5 separate regions of the Mus musculus genome follow, and all the other regions are reported to be linked to region 1. The links are microRNA targets in miRTarBase. Many come from high-throughput screens and were not tested one by one. Region 1 holds a microRNA gene; each other region holds the end of a gene's coding sequence.
The links. The annotated mature microRNA mmu-miR-1199-5p reads UCUGAGUCCCGGUCGCGCGG and lies in region 1 at 2,694-2,713, opposite strand. An mRNA with a match to its seed (bases 2 to 7 or 8) in the 3' UTR can be bound and repressed. Matches are read on the target gene's strand: a 7mer-m8 pairs with bases 2 to 8, a 7mer-A1 pairs with bases 2 to 7 and ends in A, and an 8mer does both.

Region 1 (4,066 bases):
GGGTCCAGTTCCCAACACCATCTCTGGTAGTTCACAGCTGTCTGTAGCTCCAGCTCTAGGGGGATCTAACAGTCTCTCTGGACTCTGAGGGCATCTGTATATCTGCACTCTCATGTACATACCCCAACAAACACACACCTATAATTAAAAATAAAGAGAGGTTGCTTGGCAGCTAAGAGTACTTTAGGAGGATCATGGTTCAGTTCTCAGCACTCACATGGAACTCTAGTTCCAAGGGATCTGACTCTCTTCTCACCTCTGCAGGCCCACACATACACATAGGCACACACATATACACACAGGCACACACACATACACACAGGCACACACACACATACAAGCCAACAAAACACTTATACATACAGCATGAATACAAAAAATAAATCTTTTAAAACTTTCTAGGTCACCCTCGACCACAAAGGGAATTTCAGGCCAATATGGGATATACGAAGCCACGGTTTTATCTTTTTTTTTTTTTTTTTTTGGTTTTTCGAGACAGGGTTTCTCTTTATAGCCCTGGCTGTTCTGGAACTCACTTTGTAGACCAGGCTGGCCTCGAACTCAGAAATCCACCTGCCTCTGCCTCCCGAGTGCTGGGATTAAAGGCGTGCGCCACCACGCCCGGCCTTTTTTCTATCTTTTTTTTTTTTTTTTTAAGCCACGGTTTTAAAAGAAACAAGCAAAGATGGTCACCAGAACACTTGCCAGGTCCTTGATCCTTCAACACCACCATTGGTATTTCTTTTTTTAAAATTATCCTTATTTCAATTTATGTGAATATGTGTGCATTTTGTGCGAATGGGTGCCATGTATGTTGAGATTTTCCTGGAGGAGAGAAGTGGACAATGGCTCTCCTGGACATAAGCAGTTGTGAGCCTCCCATGTAGATGCCCGGAACTGAACTCGGGTCATTTGCAAGAATAGCAAGCACTCCTTACCCTAAACCATCCCTCCAGCCACCCCTAGTATGTTTACACTATTGTTTATATCCCTAGAGCAGGAAATACAACTTCATAGCACCTCGGTCTAGCAGCTCCCTGAACACAGAATGGTTTTGGTGCCTATAAAAACTGACATCTGGATACCAGAGTGGAGTCTGTGGGCCGGTGAGCAACATTTTGCGTTCTCACCACCAGGGGGCAGTAGGGCCCTGGCCTCCAAGCCCGGGTCCGCAGTCAGTCCAGAACAAGGAGACCAGAGCGCGTTTTGAATTCCAACATTCCGGCGGGATCCTTGGGTGGCTTTTCCAAACGTTCTTCACCTGCCAGCCTCCGCCCACCCAGACTAAGGAGGACCCAGTAGAAAATAGCTTGCACTGAAGCCCAGGTAAAGGGAGGAGGAGTTTATTTTATGTTTCACTCATAGGTTTTGCAGGGTTTCCAAGGAAGACTAGAGAATTTTATGGAGAAAGGTGGTTAATTCCATAGTCAGTATCAAAGATGGGCTGGATTTCAAGTTGCCATTAAAGAAAGCTAGCCCTTCCCTCTCTAGGCCTTCTGCTGATCTGGAGAGTAACCCTACCCTGGTTCTCCAAAGGGTATGTTACTTCTGTCCGCAGGTCCCAACCTTCATAGACCTCAGGGTCTGCGCTCCTAGAAGGAAAAGGGGAAGAGAAAGAACACCCTCAGGGAGAAGTTTGGCCTCTAGGCCTCCACCTCCTCTTCACTCTCTGGATCGCGTCTAGGACTTTTGAGTTTGGGTTAGAGTGGCGCTCCAGGGGACCAAGAGGCACCTTCTCCCTCCACCCCAGTGCCCAGGTGCTGCAGGGAGGGCTGGGAGACCGACAAGCATCGGAAAGGGAGTCTCCCACCTTCTCAGAGGCCCGTCTCCGCGGAGGCCAGATCACCGACAATTTTCCATCTCCCCTGCTCGCTGTGGGGGAAGGAACACTCAGCCGCGACTGCCCCTCCTCTTGCCAGCTGGAGGATGGCCGCACCCCTTATATACATACAGGTGTGCACCCCTCTTCCCCATGAAGGCCTCCACCCAGTTCTGAGGACCCAGGAACAGGAATGAGGCAAACTCAATGTAGAGAGGCACCCGAGTACTACAGAGGACCCGAGAACGCCAGAAGTCAAGGTTCCAAGGTCTGATGGATGTGGGGATCCTCACTCCAGGAGTGGGAGTGAAGAAAAGAAGGTGAACCCCCAGGAGAATAGTTAAGGGTCTGCAAGCCTACAGATGAATGATCACTGGAGGTGGAGACAGCTGGAGCTCTAGGGCCCAGGGGGACCGCTTACGGGTGAGGCTCGGCGCTGGCTCCTGGACCTCGGCGTCGCCGTAGATGCTGCGCCGCTGCAACTGCAGCTCCCGCTCGCGCTCGCGCACTCGTCGCACCTCCTGCTCCAGCAGTGACGGGGCAACGAGCGGTGGCAACTGCCCCAGTACCGGACAGCCGTCCTGAACGGCGGGGTGCAGCCGGCCTCCGGTCTCTGGCTGCCTCTGCAAGCCAGCGCCGTCCTCCGCCGCAGCCTCAAAGAAGCGCTTGAGTTCGTCCAGCGGCTGCGGCCGCCGCCGGGCGCTAGGCTCCGGAACCGCGGGGCTCGCCAGCGCCGCCTGCCTGTGAGCCTCGCGTTCGATGTCCCGTTGCATCTTCGCGCCCGCCCGAGCGCGCTCCAGGGCGCGCGGCAGCGGAGTACCGGAGCCGGGCCGACTGAGCACCGGCCGCACGCGCAACTCAATGAGTTCCTCGCCCGCGCGACCGGGACTCAGACCCCGGCTCCGGCGCAGGCTTTCCTCCCGCTCGCAGCTGCGGCGGATTTCGCGCTGGATGGGCGTCTCCATCTGCAATTCCGCCGGCGCCGGTTTGGATGCCGCGGGCTTCGGTAGAAAACACACCTGGAGGCCTCTGAGCCGAGACAGGGGCACAACTGCCCCAGTACCTCCGTTATACTAGTGCCAGGCGGCCCAGCTGTGGACCGCCCGGGCGCTCGGTCCGGTGCTCAACTGGCACCTGCGGGACCTGGCTCTCTGGCTCCAGAGTCTGCAAGTGCTCCTCTCCAGAGGTTTCCAGGACCTCACTGCCTCCCCCAGCAGCCCTCGGTGCCCTGGCTCTGCGGCTCCCGGAACACGTAGCCTTCAGGCGACCCCAGGACTCCACTCTCGGACACCCGAGGACATGGATGTTTGGAGTTAGGCGCCCTTTGAAAATTTTAGTTCTCAGAGCCGAATTGAGATGCCCAAATAGGTAGGACACGGTGCCCTGTGCAGTACCTGTAGTTACAGCCGCCGCCCGAGGTTCATAGGCGTCGCCAGCACTCTTCTTTGACCCGCCTCTGGCCTCCAGGAACATCCCCTGGGGGCAGGACTGGGCACCGCCCCCGTCACCTGCCAGCTGGATTCGAGTGGCCCTGGACCCGCCCTATGGGCCAGGGCGCCTCCACTGCTCTCCGGATTCCCGCCACCTGAACACACGGGTTGACTGAAGGGGTGGCTTCTTCGGAAAGGGCTTCCCTGAACTCACTACCCAGGGGGTATGTGTCGCCCTTTCCCTCTGGTACCACGCTGGCATTCTGGGGTCTTTTTTTTTTTTTTTTTTTTTTTTCATCACTTTCCGGAGACCTGACCTCTAGCGGAGCGCCGCGCTGATCGCTGAACCACGGCCTCCTTACAGAGTGTTTCCCCGGTCGTCTTTCGCTGACCTCACTAGTCTAGGTCAGCAAGTGCCAGCCTGCGGCCAGCGACACCACTCTCCTTCCCCCCGCCCCCTATCCCGTGATCTCCGGGCCTTCTCTGCACACTGATCGCTGAGGCAACACAGCTCGAGTCCAGCCCGAGGGTCGCCCGGGGCCGCCGCACTGGGTGCTGCTGCTACCCGGGGCTGCTCAGCTCTGTCTGGTTTGCAGCGGCGCTGCCGCCACTCAAAACCCTGGGGCAGATTCCCCACCCCCACCTTCCAGAAAAGCCCGCAAGGCATTGGCAGCCAAGTGTCCAGCTAGAATGAGCGGTGTTTGAGGGCACAGACATTACAGGACTTCCGGGCCTCAGCCGAGCAATTGTGGCTGGAAGGCGGTCAGCTTGGACCAGTTTGCCCAGGAGGCCCAAGATGGGGCAGAGGAGCCACCGG
Region 2 (4,056 bases), not on the chromosome of region 1:
ATACAATGTTGGCAACTATAAACTACATCACACACATGCACGGACATTGACACATACACACACTCAGCCAGGCATGAAGGTCTCAAAAACTCGGACACACTGAGATGATGGGCTGCAGCATCTATGGGTGTGCACTTTTATACTCCATGTGCCAGACTCCAGTCATTAAGAGTTCAGAAAGGGCAAGTGCTGGGCTCAGAAGATCTCCGTGCTCCCTGAGGAGCCAGGCTGGTGCCCAGAATCACGATCAGGGCCTCCCATGATTTCCCTCTGCAGTCTTTAGACAAGACCCAGCTTTATAGGGTCATAGAAACCAGACTGTTTCCCCTAAATTTTATTCCCAGATTCCGAGGACAGAATTCTTGCTTTGGTGCAATCTGCTTGCTGGAGAAGGTCAAAAAAAGCAGACCCCTTCCCGACCTCCAAATCTACTTTTAAACACAAAGTTCAGACCCACAGCTTAGACCTTGCCTTTCCCCCAGGCCCCAAACACAGCTAAGCCACAGGGCTTAGCAGCTTTCTCTGTAGCAGGTTGGCAGGTCTATGACACCAAAAGGACAACTGGAAGGCACCACGACCCAGGGACCCTCAAGAAGTCTGGGGCTTCTTTTCAGGAAGTCAAGAGTCTTAAGGCTTTTCCAATCCTACTTCAGCTGAACTGCATCGTGTGGACCAAGACCAGTAACATATCCCATACGCACAGGCAGCATATGGGATATGGCTGCTCTGACCAGGGTCCTTGGTCCCAGCCTACGTTCTCCGGCTTTGCGTGAAGGTGGGAGCCAGAGGGGGCATTTCTAGGTTTTCTGATGAGGCCACTTAGGAGTCATGAAACCATCTATTTTAGTCAAGAGAAAACAAGAAACTGACTCAGCATAGGAAAACAGCAGCTGCTTCTGGATCAGGCATTTTCTCTTAATCTACTGTTTACACTTTTATGGTCAACCACGTTAACTCCTAACCCTAAACACACTCCCACCTGCTACATTCTGTCAGTAGGATGTCACTCTCTAGGCCAGAGCCCTGGGTGCTTTGATCATGGGGGTGGGGTAGGGACTGCTTGGCCTTAATAGGTTTGTTGGCTCCTTTGGATTCTGGTTTACAATAGGGAAAGAGAACAGAATTTGAGACAGTGCGATCAGACACCAGGGGCTAGAAAAGCATGGGCACTGGGCTGCTCCCCGGCCTCCACTCGCTGTGCTTCTTTTCCCTGCCTTGTGATGGAGGGACAGATCCTCCTGCACCCACCATCTAGACTTCCTGACTCTGAGGCATACTTGGTCACGATCAGATTCCATTTCCTGTCAACAGGCAACCCAGTATCCTACTGGATGTAAATTTAAATCAATTCTACCAAGAAGAGGGCACACAAGTGACCAGTTCTCTAAAAGCAGCATGTCCCTACTACACAGCCACGGCATGAAGAAAAAGAAATACTTAGACCGAGCAGCCATTGATTCTGCAGACATGAACGCTGTGCCTTTCTTCTGTTCCCAGGGCAAGGTGAGAGACAGACATATCTGTGTGGGCCTGGAGGCATCTGGTTCTGATGCTGGCTCTCAAAAGACTCCAAGGAAGTGTCTCTCCCAATCCACAACTAGGGTTAAGGTGTCTCAGGGGTGGACAATGACATCAGTGGGGAACAATAAAGAAACTAATGGACTCTTACTCTAGCTAAGCAGAGGATAGAGGATGTGGCCGGCAAGTGAAAAAAGACAGTTTTTAGCACAAGGCTTAAATTTTCTTAGTTTCTAAAAGGTTACTTGCCTTCATGCTTAAACTTGCCTTCAAGGCCATGCTTATAAACTTGGGTTGAGCAGTAGCCACACAGCTCCAAAGCCATGTGAGTGGTGTTGGGGTGTTGTCCTCAGGGACCTGAGATCATGCAGGCCATGCTGGAGCCGTGAGCCCGTAGCTCAGTGCAGAGAACATGGGAAAGAGTTGTATTACAAATGGGAAACTCTGGGGAAAGGGTCAGGAGTGCCCCATCTGTGATATTTATCACATATGCAACGAAAAGTACATGTGCTCAAGTTCTCCTAATTCTGGAAAATGTTGCCACCTGTCCTAGTGAGCAGGCTGTCACTATGCAGGGTCCCGAGGAGCTCAACTTCTCCTTTATGACCCCAGGCCACACTGCCTACAACCATACCTTAGAAATGATTCCTGCAGACCACAGAACCACTTCCCCTTTACAAGAAGCAAAATCTCTGCCTTTAATCCTAGCACTTGGGAGGCAGAGGCAGGTGGATTTCTGAGTTCAAGGCCAGCCTGGTCTACGAAGTGAGTTCCAGGACAGCCAGGGCTACACAGAGAAACCCTGTCTCGAAAAAAACCAAACCAAACCAAACCAAACCAAAAATCTCTGGAGCAATGTTGGTCCTGAGAGAAAAACAGCTTGGAAAACGTATGGGAAGTTTGAAAGGGAAAAGATGGACTATCTTGGACCGTGGAGTATGCCCACTGCTAGGCATTCTGAGAGGCACGGAGACACCACGAGGGACATCAGGAAAGGGCCAAACCAAGATAACTGCAAGTGGCCTTGTTTGCACCCACCCAGTCCTGGGTCAGCTGCTCCCAGCACACCAAGTCACATAGGGACAGGGAGGTAGCACATAGGGAAAATGGAAGCCAAAGTGATTCCTAACACCTCTACCCAGGCTACAAGCAAGGCCAATTATCCCCAGTGTCTCAGACTTAGCCCAAAGAGGGAAAATATTTTTTCAATCCTAGTTGTTAAATCTTTCTTTCCCCAAATTCTAAAGTGCCACTTGCTCAACTGCCTGCCTCTCTCTCAAGCCCTCACTACTGCTGGGAGCATCTTCCAGAGGAAGTGATGCAGACAGGCCTCAGGGCCCTGGCACTTCCTCCCCCCCTCTCCAGCCACCTAGAACCAGCTAGCTTGCTCAGCTTTCTCTCATCCCAGAGGCTGTGGAAACAAAGACATCAGGGACCAAACTTAACAACTAGGAAACATCCAGAAGAGAGAGAACCAGAGAAGACCCACCCCAAGCTTCCTCTGGACAGAGATGTGGGAAGATGCTACGCAGCCAGGACACAGACTCACCACACTCGTGCTTTGCTGAAGCTGCCACCCAGTCTGGGAGACCCAGCCCCTCTCCATCCCCAGCTCTTCTGCTAGCCTTGCTGGCTCCAGTGTCTGTCCCCAGCTCTGGCTGTAAGTCCTCAGCATTGATTAATAGTAGAAAAAGAAATGCAGACAACTAGAGAGTAGGCGGGATGCTGGGTAAGACAACCAAGACTTAAGAGGCGAGAGCAGACATCACTTCTGAGCTTTCACAGGGTCATTTCCCCAGGTGCCACCTCTGCCCTCCTTTGACCAACCATGTGGATATCAGGCTCCTTTCTTTGGGAGTGGCTGACACTCCCTCATAGACACATCCCCAATGGAGGCTTCCCAGGCCCTTCTGCTTCTCAATGGAGATGTCCTTGTGATTCTCTGTCCCTGGCTGATACAAGAGAAGACAGGTCAGATGCTTATTAGCCCAGAGGAGAGGTGGCTGGACTCTTCTCACGGAAGACGACAAGGAGGAAGGAGGACCACAGAGGACCAGAGAGGACCTTTTGCTCACTGTCCAAGGTGACAAGTTCTTAGCCATCCCAGCTAGATTTCCAAGGTGAGAGTGAGCAGGGGGGTGGTCCTCTTGCAGACTGTGTCCTCTAAGGAGCTCTGTCTCCTGGAGTTCAGTATACACACAGATCAGGAAACTTCATCTCATAGACAGGGATGGAGTGGTTTTGCGGCTGGCCGTAGGCTGCGCTGATGGTTCCTGAAGGGCTTGGAGGGGGCCTGGAGACACACAGAGGAGAGAGGTAGGAACCAAGAGCTGGGGTCCTACCCTGGTGCAACTGAACACAGCAGCTGGTTTTGGTTTCTCTTTAAAATGCATGCCACTCCACGAGTTCCCAGATTTTCAAGATGTTCTATGATCTTCAGCTCAGTCAAAACTCCCTGTATAGGCTCTACAGCAGCGGTTCTCAACCTTCTTAATGCTGCCACCCTTTAATGCAGTCCCTCATGTTGTGGTGACCCCC
Region 3 (4,056 bases), not on the chromosome of region 1:
GGGAAGACACTCCCTGGGTGTGGTATCCAGAGGAGAAGGAAGAGGCCCACAGGTGTCTACTTCACCCCCCCCCCTCCCCCGGGCTCTATGCTATATATGGAGCAATTCTGCTCTGCTACAAGTTCCCCACCATGAAGGCACGCTTTACCACAGATCCAAAAATGGTGGAGCCCAGTAGCTGAGGGCCCACATGCCTAAAATCAAGATTAAAAAGAGAAATCCTATCACAGCAGTGAAAACTGACTTTGGCCACAAAGGGACATACCAACCTTTCCTTCTGAGCTCCTCACACCTCTCAGTCTGAATGAATCCTATTTCTCAAGTTTCACTTGAAGGTGAAGTCAGCTTTAGGCTGACAAGCACCAATACCTATAGCATGCCAAGCTGTGAACCAGACTGGTACAGAGAGCCCGGTTACTGCTGTGCAGGAGTGATGACAGCTCAGGAAGAAGACATTCAGCCTCGTAAGTTCAGCTCTGTAATTACTTAGTGTCACTGGGCCAGGCACTATGAGGACTGGCTTCTGTAACATCAAAATTCCAGAAACCGTCCAAGTTAACAGCGCCTCGATCCTCCGACTTCTACCTGGCTGTCGAGTGGTGAGCTGACTGCTAGAGTCATCGTGCAGGCACAGATGAAAACGCTTACACTTCAGTCACAGGAACCAGGAAAAACGAGAGGAGACGAATTTATTACTTAGTATCGGATGCTTTATTTTGCATTTACAGTATCTGCTTTCCCCATATTGATCATCAAGGCCTTATGGTGAGGCAATGAGAACTTATCATATGAATCAGGTCTATTGAAAAACAATGGATAACTTACAAACATGTCTCCGTAGAATCAAAAACATTTTATAAAACATACTCTAGTACACATGAATTTTAGATGTCAAAAGGCATTTAAAAAAAAACAAAGATGAAGGAAACATTTAACACTGTGGAGCCTGGCAGAACAGCGCGGACGGCAAGCTGGACACAGCTTCGAAGGCCCAGTGTGAGTGGAAGGAAGAGGATGACTGGCTGGGCCTTCACTTAAATAATTTATCAGTAAGATTCTCTTTTTAAATGAATGTTTCTACCAAGTGAACATTTTTTTTTTTTGCCTTGGAAGCTCCTCAAATTTTATACGTATGCTTGTTAATAACTTGATTTAAAGAGCTGAGAATTAGTGGAAGGGAAGAAGGAAAATCGCTTGTGGTATTACTGAAGTGACCGGCATTGCGCAGCACACGCTCAGAAGGGGAGTGTGCGCAGAAAAGGGATGGAAAGACTCAATGCCAAAACGTACAAGTGTTCTCACTTGGGGAATTTAAGAAAACAAACAAAACAAAAAACATGTCGTCAATTAGTTTTAAATTTTCAAAATGGCATAATACAAATCTTCACACATCTATTTTAGGGCTCATTAAAATTAACCATTCTTCTATTTCTACTTAAGTATAATCTGTATGTGGTTTAGGGATATCCGCAGACAGGATCATAGAGGCCACTCAATGGTCACGGCAAGCATTGGGGCTCAGGAAAGCTGAGGCAGGAATCCCGAAAGCTAAAGGCCAGAGCAGTTAAGTTTGAAGCCAGCCTAGGACACACAGCAAAACCCTGTCTCGAATCAAAAAGTAATAAGGACAGAAAAAAAATGAAAATGAAAACAAACAAAAGGATGCTGAGCAGGGTGGCCCGTGGGCTTAACGCCAGCATGTAAGAGGTAGGGGTGGGGAGATGTCTGTGAGTTTAAGGCTATCCTAGTCTACACAGAGATTTTCAGGCTAGCTAGGACTATACTGTAAGACCCTGACCCCCCTCGCCCCCCCCCAAAAAAAGGTAGATAATTTGATTGGGCAGTGATTTTTTTTAAGGTGCCTAATGTCACAAATTTAGTATTTTGCCTCAGTGAACCAGGGACCAGGAAGTGAGCAAGAGATCCTAAGTGTCTCTTCACTGATTCAGTGGCTCACTCAGGACCTGCTGGCAGCTGTGCTGGCCTCAGTGTGTTCTGAGGACACTTGTGAGCAGTGAGCCCCTCTACGCCCACAGAACTGAGATCACGGAGATGGACAGAGTAATCTATAGCTTAATCCCAAGCATGAGTGCCATGTCAGGTCCCGTTTTTGATATAATGTGGGCCTAAAACATAACTTAAGTGCTCTGTATATTCTAATTTTTTTATTATACCCATGAGATGGGTTTCTGAGACCATCTCAACTTAATATTCATCTTGCATCTCAGATTACCTCTCCTGTTAGTCCATAATATTGTCTAGAGAGAGCAGGTAGAAGCCTTAAGAGCACTTCATAGAAGAGATGAACCAAGTTTACTGACTTGGGAGAAGATTTTGTTCTAACAGATCCTTACAGATTTTCAAGTGCATTTTTTTGTATATTGAATAAGAATTATTCTCAAAGCAAATATTGAATGATAGCAAAGTTCTAACTCATTAAGACAGCATATTTTGACATCACCAACTCAAAATGCTAACGGTACCACTAATTGTATGCAATCTGGAATGATCTTAACTACAAATTAAACTCCTGAGACCAAATGATCACTACTGTTAGACTGTTTCGACCCCTGACTCCCAACAATAACACAGAGACTTTTTATTATTTATGAATGCCAAGGCCTTATATCTTAGGCTTCTTCCCAACTAGCTCCTATGGCTTAACTAATCCATTTATTTTGGTCCATGTTTGCCACATGGCCCGTTATCTTTCAGTCCCTGAAAGTCAGACTTCCTTTTGTGATGCCCTGCCCTGCCCTGCCTTTCCTTTCCTGACCTACAGGCCCTCAGTGTTTACCAATCAGAAGGTGGTGGAGAGGAGAGTTTACAAACTACAATGAAGGTGCTTAGCAATTCAAATAACAATACCAAAGAGTATTCAGCTGGAAATCAACATCTGAATACAGCAGTGGTGGCGCACGCCTTTAATCCCAGCACTTGGGAGGCAGAGGCAGGCGGATTTCTGAGTTAGAGGCCAGCCTGGTCTACAGAGTGGGTTCCAGGACAGCCAGGGATACACAGAGAAACCCTGTCTCGAAAAAAAAGAACAAAAAGACAAAAAACACAAAACAAAATAAAAAAGACAACCTTTACACGGTATGCAAAAAGATGACCATAGACGTCATGGAAGACTATGAAACATGGGTTAAATACAGGGAGCTGCTCTCCAGAGCTGCTTTTTTCTTTTGAACATTAAAGTAACTGAATATTATTTTTGGAGGGAGGAAATGTATGAAGATAGAGTAGAATATTCTACACATAGGGGAAACATTCTAATTAAGATACTTTAAGCTATTGTAGATGTTTATTTAGTACTAGAAATGTGCTTAGCTATCATAAAGTATTTCTCTTCATCACAAAATAGTAAGGATTTACACAATCCAAGGAGAAAAAAACAATCTAAGAAAACCTTTTGACCTGGGTACTTCTTCTTCTAAAAGGGGTCTCCAAAGTCCTGAGCAGAGTTGTCATACTCAGTAATGAAACGCTTGAGCTCTTCCACGCAGCGCTCACCTATCTCGTGTAAGTTCTGCCTCAGTGCAAACTGGACAGACTTTTCTAATGAGGGATCTTTTTCAATCAGCATTTTCACCACCATCCCGAAAGTCTCGCAGTCTTGTCGGTAAACCTAGGATGGCAAAACACATTTGGATTAGATGAGTGAATTAAGCCCATGGCTGGCTGAGCCGGTAGAACTCAGCTGCTGAAACCTGTAAGGGAGCTAAACCTGTAAGATGGCTGAACCTCCCCTGTATCAGCACAGCCACATGCCTTGGGTATCAGCTCACAACTGAATAAGCAGGCAGGCAGACAGACAGACAGACGCACCCATCACTGAGAAAAGCACAGGGCTTTACACTTGGGTTAGGTAAAGAAGGTAAGGACAAAAGAAAGGCAAAAAAATCCTCACTCATTTGTTAAGAGAAGAAAGGCTTTGTCATCAGCGTGCCAGCCACACATTTAATCCCAGGAGGGGCAGAAGGATCTCTGAGTTGGAGGCCAGTTTGGTCTACATAGCAAATTCTCTCTCAGCCAGAACTACTACAATCGTAAGAC
Region 4 (4,056 bases), not on the chromosome of region 1:
TAATGAATTTGGAATAGGGCAATCACTGGTTGACTTATCCAGAGTGACTGTTGGAGTAGGGAAGTGAGAAGGCATTGTAGAGTGGGTTGAAGGGCTCAGGACACAGCACGTGGGACATTAGAACCTAAGTTAGGTTTAACTCCTAGAACTCACAGAAGAAACGCCAGCGTGAAGGGGCCACGGGATCCTTAACTACATACAATAGAAAAGTGTTCCCTAGGTCTAGCTCTTCAGCTTTCACACTTTAGTATGCCCAAGAATAACCCACAAAGGTTGTTAAAGAGACTGAACAAACTGAGATGACGAAATCTAGACATTTGAATTTTCAGACTTTTAGTTTTTGTGTTTGCACTTTACTGTTGTGTCTACATCCATATCATGTTTGTAAAGTATCACCAAAAAAATTTACTGCAGCACACCCTGAACTGTGTAATCTTAACTTTTAAGATCATCCTGTTTACAAAATCCCTTTATTTCTGTAGATCTTTATGAAACATTCCATCTTTGTAGATCATAGTCCTTTATTATCAGATTCAGGTGTTCTTTCCCATCCCTTTAATACAAAAATCCCCGCATTATTCAATCAGGTATTTTCATCTGACATTTCACTAAATACAATATTCATATCAACATTGTTAGATCAGTCATTCAAGTGGGTCACACAAATTTATCTTCACTGTGCCAAAACTCAAAAATGGAGTCGAATAACAGATACCTCCAGGTGTATACAACAAAGTAAACTAGTCCTGTTTAACAGGTCAAATTGCTAGTCTACATAAACTAGAAGGGACTCAGGTATATAGCTGTACACATCATCAAATGGCAAGTTCATTTCAGTTAGAACTACAGCTACCTGTATATTTGTACAGTTCTCTGCTATCGTAAAAGCCCCTCTGAACCACATTATACTTTAGCATTTAAGACAATTGAGAAAATTTACCAGTTGGCTTTTCTGTAGCAGAAATTAATTAGCCATTTTTCCTCAAGTGATTTTAAAGACAAGCAAAGTTGAAAATAAATATGCAAGCATATAGTATACTAAGCCTACACTTAGACTAATTCAAGTACAAAGCATAGTAGAACCTCTAAGTTAGAAATACAAACCAGATATGAATCAATAAATTCTTCTAAATAGCAGGAATCAATTTCTCCAATACCATTATTTAGATCACTGAGAATGGGTCTATTAATTTTGGAACTTTAAAAATACCATTTGTTAACACATTTCACCAAATGTATCAACAAATGTCTCTTAAATGATATTGCATGAAATAAATGACCATTTAATTCCTTCTAAATTTAATTCAGTGATTTTAAATTTTGTATAAACAAAGTTTCAAGAACATCTGTAGATTTGCTTGACAGTCCTGCTGTTATTTATGAGTGCTTTTTAAATTTATATTTTTATTCAACTGTTGGCCCACATTACTAATAGAATCCTCTTAAGAGTTCCAAACATTTGAACCTACATATTCAGGTGATCTTCTTCTGGTCTCAGGAACACTACATTTTGACTTACACCAAGGCACCACTCCCTTCCTCTCTCCAGGGAGTTAGAAGGGGCAGAATGAAGACAGAATTCTAGTTTTAGGTATAAAGAAAATTAAGAATTTTTTTCAGGCTTAGATTGTAAGATAAATGCCAAATATATGTCACTTATAAATTTCCATGAAACTAAGCATTAAGACAAAAAGAAATGAACTTCTGAGTTACATTCTGTGAAAATGAATATGTTATGATAACACATTAAGACACAACACACTTACCATCCATATCAAAAACCTTCAACTCCCTGCCTGAAACTGGCTTGAGAAATGGTATGTCTACAGCTGCTTTAAAGGGCTATAAGAGAACATGTTTTAAAGCTATGAACGAATTTCACTACGAATGCAACTCAGTTGGTACAGTACTTGCCTACTATGCATGCAGCCCTGGGTTCCATCCCCAACATCACATAAAGCAAGCATGGTATCTCATGCCTTAAGCCCAGCACTTGGGAGGTGAGTGCAGAATTAGAAGCGCAAGAATATCCTCAGCTACATATCCAGTTCAAGACCAGCCTGGGCTTTAGAAGACCCCATCTCAAAGAAAACAACAACAACAAAAAAAAAAAAAAAAAAAAAACCCTAAATACGTCATTGAAAGCATTTATCTATTTTTTTTAAATTCAAAGCCAATGTATAGAGCCCATCTCATTCATTTGAAGAGTCAATCCTCATATATTAATGGTTGATTTTATTGTATTTTTAAAGGAATTACTACTAATAATTTAAGACATCCTAAAGAAAGAATAAGCATGAAGGATTATCTTAGGTTACTAGGATAATTATAAGAACTTAAAAATTAATATTTGCCGGGTGTGGTGGTGCACACCTTTAATCCCAGCACTCGGGAGGCAGAGGCAGGTGAATTTCTGAGTTCGAGGCCAGCCTGATCTACAAAGTGAGTTCCAGGACAGCCAGGGCTACACAGAGAAACCCTGTCTCGAAAAAACAAAACAAAACAAAAAAAAAAATGTATTCCTTCTCAATATGAAACTTCCCACATAGCTTTTGATGAGCTAAGAAATGTTCCATAGATACTGTGGGGTGTATTAAGGATGGGAGCATGAATCCAACTACTAAAGCACATTTCGTGTTAACTACTCACAACAGCTGATAAGCACTCTTACCCACTGACACCAGGAAACTCCTTTACCTCAATACTCCTGAGATTTTTAAGAGGGAAACTAATTTTACAACCTTTGAAAGAGTTCACTGATAATTATAAGAACTGCACATATTTAAGATTATTAGAAAAGATGTTTTCTTTTGTAAGGCATCAATGATTAAACAAACAGAATGCTTATCTAACCAAAACAAACAAAAAAAAAAACAACAGTATCATAAAAACATTTGTCTTCTAAACTTTTGAATTCCTGCTACTTTTTTGCCAGCTTAAATAAGAATGCCTCTTGGCCTAAACCACTATAGTTATAAAAAACTAAGACATCTGAAACTATTAGGCACATCAAAGGTACAGTTTATGTAGTTCGAGTCCCTTTGTAAGGGTCGTGTGGGTTACCTGGCACACTGTACACATGGAACTGTAAAATCATCTACTAAGTTGAACTTTCACATTTTTTAGTCAAACTGAAAGACTTAGAGCAAATATTTAAACATACCATATCTTCAGTTACAACTGAACAAGTGTAACATTTTACCAGATAAAAAGCTGAACTTAGGGATGAGAAGCCTTCAGACACTGTGGTAGTACTGGACTCTTCTTGTTTTAGATGCAGCCAGTCACCAATACTTTCAACACAGCAGTTTAGCGGTTGACTTGGTTGTAGTCTGTAATTGAACTGTTCAATGCCACTGGCATCATATGCTGTGGAGAGCAAGTGTACTTCTCTTTCAATCAGACTTGTCTTTCTTCTTTCCTGATAAGGGCACTTTGTTTACAACTGCAGACCCAACAGCTGTCACACCTCCAGCCACAGCAGACACGCCTCCTTTCACCAGCCCTATTCCCATGGAAGGCACAGTTGTAACAGCTGTTTTGGTCACTTCCAGACTCTTTCCACCAATCCAAGCCACACCACCAATGGTGGCACCAACAGCTCCCTTTGTAACACTGAAGATACCTCCAGTCACACGAGACAACATTCCTGGCTGCTGCTGCGGGTGATCTTTCATTGACCCTAATGAGAGACATATGATAGTCAATATCAAGTCTTTCTAAGAACAGTTCAAATCATTAAATAACCTTTCTCACAACTAGCAGCTTAATCTGATAAACTCTGTTATACTGAGTAAGTAAGGAGCTCTTGCCTGAGTACAGCTGCAGATGCCTTATTTAATACCTTGGTGCACAACTAAGTCTTCGAAGCAAGGTCTTGTTAATGTAATCCACACTTTCCTCAAACTCACAATTTTCCTACTTCTACTTCACAAACACTGAGATTATAGGTATACACCACCACACATAGTGTTGTGTAGCAATTTCCTCTGAGATTAGAATCTCCCATTTTGAAGGGAAGCTGATTAAGACACAGAATATTTTATTAAAAGGAAG
Region 5 (4,056 bases), not on the chromosome of region 1:
CCCTGCCTTCCATTTCTTCCATCACTTTTGGCTCCCTGTGCTTGAAGTATTAATATTCAGACCCATCCATGACTTGAAACTCAGTCACTCTGCCTCTGGGTTTACTGTTGATTAGTGTGGACCGTGTTTATTTTCCTAAATGCCATATTGCTCCAGCCATTCCTAGAATTCCACTGTCACCCATTCGAAGAACTGGTCCAGTGTCTGCTCATCCCTCAGCTCAGCTTTACGCCCTTAGTGTCGTCAGGACAAACTCCCCGTAGCTTTTGCTTGTTTTTTTAATTATCTGCTTGTATGTCTAATCACTACACTGTGCTGGGAGTTTTTTCCAAGAATGAAGTACATGCTAATATAACGCAATATAGAGGGACTCATTGAATATTTGAATGACCTTGGCCACCAGCTTGCTGCTTCCTTATGCCTTCTAAGAAGAAGGTCATAAGGTCACTATGAAAGAGTTTGAGCTTGCTAATAATCTTTGTTTCTGAAATAACTTAGTCCTTCTAATATTTTTTCTGATTATTCTCACTTCTTAAAATTATGTTTAAGTCAAATGTAAATTAAACAGAAAATATATTTTGTTAGAAAATAGTAGTTAATAGACGTGGGTGAAGTGGCATACTCAGACTCCCAGATGCTCAGGAAGCTGAAGCAGGAGGATCAGCTGAGCTAAATCAGTCACACTTGAGTCCCTCCACAGTCTGGGCAACATAAGGTCCACTCTCTCATGACAGAGAAGGGAAAAAAAAAGACAGAGACACAGACAGACCATGAAATTACCAAATCAGCTATCACTTTATCAAATAATAGTTACCAATAATGCTTGTTGGCATGATTAAAAAATCAGGTAAGATACATCCATTGTATATCATGGGGTAAGAAATTGTAGAACTACATTTGTTTGTAGGTAATTGGTATGATATGACAATCTAATCAGAGAAAATAGAAGTTTTACAGCATACATTTGCGATCTTTCCAATATTGCCAGCTATACTGTCTGGAAGTTTGGAAGCCTTATTTTGTTTTTAATATATATATTTATTTTTATTTTATGTGTATGGGTGTTTTATCTGCATGCATGGAAGTGCAATGCGTGCATATCTGGTGCCCACAGAGGCCAGAGTGGGTGCTGGATCCCCTGGAACTAGAACCCCTGAGCAGCTTTAAGCCACCCTGTGTGTGCTGGGAACCAAACCTGGCTGTTCTGCAAGAGCAGCAAGAGCTTTCAGCCACCGCCATCTCTTCCGCCCCTAGCATGGCAGTTGTAGTGCTTGCAGCCTCCGTGTTTTGTGTATGCAAGGCATTTAGCAAATACTTGCTGAACAAATGCTGGTGTGCAGGAAAGCTATTCAGCCTGTTTTCCACATTGGAATCTCCCTTTCTCAACTTTTCAATTCATCACTATTTGTTGTGATCAGCCTGCATTTCAAGATTAGCATCTTAGACAGGTGTGCTGGCACACATCTGCAACCCCAACACACCAGGAGATGCACGCAGAGGATCAGGAATTTGAGATCCGCATCAGCTATACAGAACCTATCTCAAAACAAAACAGAAACAAACCAAAAAACTACCCTCTCCAGCCCGGGTCAGTGTTCTAAGTGAAATTACCTTCCTCATTTCTGTCTTTGGGGTTTCTTCACTGTAGCTAGAATAGGAGAAATGCAAGACAATGCAAATAGTTGGACAGAAATTTTTCAAATCATAAGACTTAAGCTTGTTTTAATTTTATTTAAAATAATTTTATTGGGCAAATAAATCACTAGAAAAATTAAGATGGAAAATTTGAGAAAAATGTATAATATCTGGTAGAATTGTTACAGTATATAGCTAAGTAGATTTTTGCTGGTTTGTGTGTTAAGAATGTTTTGCACTAGCCATACTGCTTACTGAACTTTAAAGATGATGCGGTTTGGTGGGGGCACATGATTGTGTTTGCAGATGTTGCATTACGATGTTTGGTTGAAACCTATGCTGCCAGTTTTGAGGAAAAGGATGAAGAACCTTTAGCCAAACGCATAAAGAATGATAAGACAGAAAAAGAAAGTAACACTTTGGCCAAGGAAGGAAGTGAAAAAGATGTCCCAGAGACATGGACCCCGGTGGCTGGCATTGTGATTGCGCTCTGTTGTCACCACAGGTGTGACTGGAGACATTATGTGGGCAAAGAGTATTTCAAGGCTCTTGGACTTGGGGCGGTAGAGTTCTACTATTTCCAGAGAATGAGTAGTTGGGCAACGTGTGGAATGAGGACATCGTTGGAAGGCTCGGATGTTACTCCAGAGAGAAAAGATGCTCAAAGGGATGAGAATGAAGAGCACGATGATGGAGGAGACAGACTCACAGATGGCAACACTGACAGTTTGCCTGGGTAAGTGACGACAGCTACAAACACCATGCTACAGGGAGATACTTTATCCCCGTAAACTAGTCCTCCTGTGGGTGAGACTGCACAGATGCCTCGAACCGTAGATAAAACAGAACCCCACACACTAGCATTGCACTTACCTACTCTGTCCATCTGGTAGTCAAGATGGCTGCACAACGTCTAGCAAGTGGGCAGCACGGTGTGGCTGTGCTAAGGATGCTCATGTGTGAGGCACAGGTTCATTCCCCGGATAGGAAGGAGTGGGTGGCCCATGATTCACCATGCTACTCAGAATGCCACTACCAATGGTTCATTTTCAGAATTTTCCATTGAATATTTTCACACTGATTGACCTTGGCCAGGAGAAACCATAGCAAATAAAACCGAATGGTTGTTTCTTAGTCTTTTGGCTGAGATCAAGTATACAAAGTAAAACTGAAGGAGAAGGATTCTTTTTTTTTTTCCTTAGATGACTGTTATCAAAAATTTAGAAAATATAGCTTACATTCTAATTTTAGAATAAACTAAAACATATTTTAATTGTGATCATAAAGAAAAGTCTTAGATGGGGCTGGAGAGATGACTCAGTGGTCAAGAGCACCGACTGGTCATCCAGAGTTTCTGAGTTCAATTCCCAGCAAGCACATGGTGGCTCACAACCATCTGTAATGGGATCTGATGCCCTCTTCTGGTGTGTCTGAAGACAGTTATTCATATAAACAAAATAAATAAATAAATCTTAAAAAGAAGAAAAGGCGTCTTAGAAGCATCAGACATAGCGCCTAGTACGTGCTGTTGGCTAGTTAGCAGCTTCGTAAATGGCAGTGGCCAAACTTGGTATGAACTTTTACCAAACTTTAAATTTTTGTGTGCTTATTCCATGTAGGATTCTTACTGTTGAAGAAAAGAAGAAAATAGGACATCTTTGTAAACTGCTGATTGACCAAGGCAGACTCCAGTATTTACAGCAGAAAGGCTTCAGTCCTGCCTTACAGTACTATACGGACCCATTGGTGTCTCTGGAAAACGTATTATTAACTGCCGTACCAGCTCATCCGTCATCGCAGGAAAAACATCATCAATGAAAGGAAACATGAACGTGACGTTTGTCTTCCACAAACAAAAAAATTTAAATTATTTTTAAATTATATTTCGATATTCACAAAAATATTCACCAAGTAGTCAAAGTATTCCTTTTCAGCAGGGCTCTTTCAATTACTTTCTCCATCAGAATGTATAGAGCTTGGCATTTGAGTCAGACAGTTGACTTGGTCTTCTGAAAGATATAACACCAGTATATAATTATAGTGTGAACTCTGTGTATTAATCTGGTAAAGGTTTTATTTGATTTTTTTCATTTTTTGAGCTCCAGTTATAATAAACAGTATAAATTTATAACAAGGATCAATCTGAGTGTGAGGCTTTTTTTTTTTTCTTTTTTTCTTTTTTTCTTTTTTCTTTTTTCCCCGAGACAGGGTTTCTCTGTGTAGCCCTCAATGTCCTGGAACTCACTTTGTAGACCAGGTTGGCCTCAAACTCAGAAATCCGCCTGCCTCTACCTCCCAAGTGCTGGGACTAAAGGCGTGCGCCACCACGCCTGAGTGAGGCTTTTTTTTTTTTTCAATATAGGTCTAGAAAGAATAATTGTAATTATCTTGAACACAGACAAATTTAGAAATTTAAGAATT

Region 2: miRTarBase lists Efr3b as a target of mmu-miR-1199-5p. Seed matches in the 3' UTR shown: 7mer-A1 at 2,254-2,260.
Region 3: miRTarBase lists Pphln1 as a target of mmu-miR-1199-5p. Seed matches in the 3' UTR shown: 7mer-A1 at 2,962-2,968.
Region 4: miRTarBase lists Tmem263 as a target of mmu-miR-1199-5p. Seed matches in the 3' UTR shown: 7mer-A1 at 2,413-2,419 and 7mer-A1 at 1,704-1,710.
Region 5: miRTarBase lists Lrrc39 as a target of mmu-miR-1199-5p. Seed matches in the 3' UTR shown: 7mer-A1 at 2,989-2,995.

What each region holds. Positions count from the first base shown.
Region 1 is chr8:84,008,901-84,012,966 of GRCm38, forward strand. It overlaps Mir1199 (microRNA 1199), which reads right to left and starts at 2,733; the gene lies at 2,615-2,733. It overlaps Misp3 (MISP family member 3), which reads right to left and starts at 2,820. Exons shown (of 3, transcript NM_001291292.1): 1 at 2,241-2,820; 2 at 1,811-1,872; 3 at 1,328-1,592. The coding sequence starts at 2,784. The coding sequence ends at 1,578.
Region 2 is chr12:3,962,737-3,966,792 of GRCm38, forward strand. It overlaps Efr3b (EFR3 homolog B), which reads right to left. Exons shown (of 23, transcript NM_001082483.1): 23 at 1-3,811. The coding sequence ends at 3,706. Among named protein-coding and RNA genes, the nearest start is that of Pomc, 9.8 kb to the left of the region's middle.
Region 3 is chr15:93,488,546-93,492,601 of GRCm38, reverse strand. It overlaps Pphln1 (periphilin 1), which reads right to left. Exons shown (of 9, transcript NM_175363.4): 9 at 689-3,628. The coding sequence ends at 3,434. Among named protein-coding and RNA genes, the nearest start is that of Pphln1, 92 kb to the right of the region's middle.
Region 4 is chr10:85,114,034-85,118,089 of GRCm38, reverse strand. Tmem263 (transmembrane protein 263) reads right to left here. Exons shown (of 3, transcript NM_001013028.2): 3 at 343-3,682. The coding sequence ends at 3,396. Among named protein-coding and RNA genes, the nearest start is that of Mterf2, 12 kb to the left of the region's middle.
Region 5 is chr3:116,580,809-116,584,864 of GRCm38, reverse strand. Lrrc39 (leucine rich repeat containing 39) reads right to left here. Exons shown (of 9, transcript NM_175413.4): 9 at 1,721-3,644. The coding sequence ends at 3,580. Trmt13 (tRNA methyltransferase 13) reads left to right here. Exons shown (of 12, transcript NM_030016.3): 11 at 1,942-2,371; 12 at 3,255-4,056. The coding sequence ends at 3,453. Among named protein-coding and RNA genes, the nearest start is that of Sass6, 12 kb to the left of the region's middle.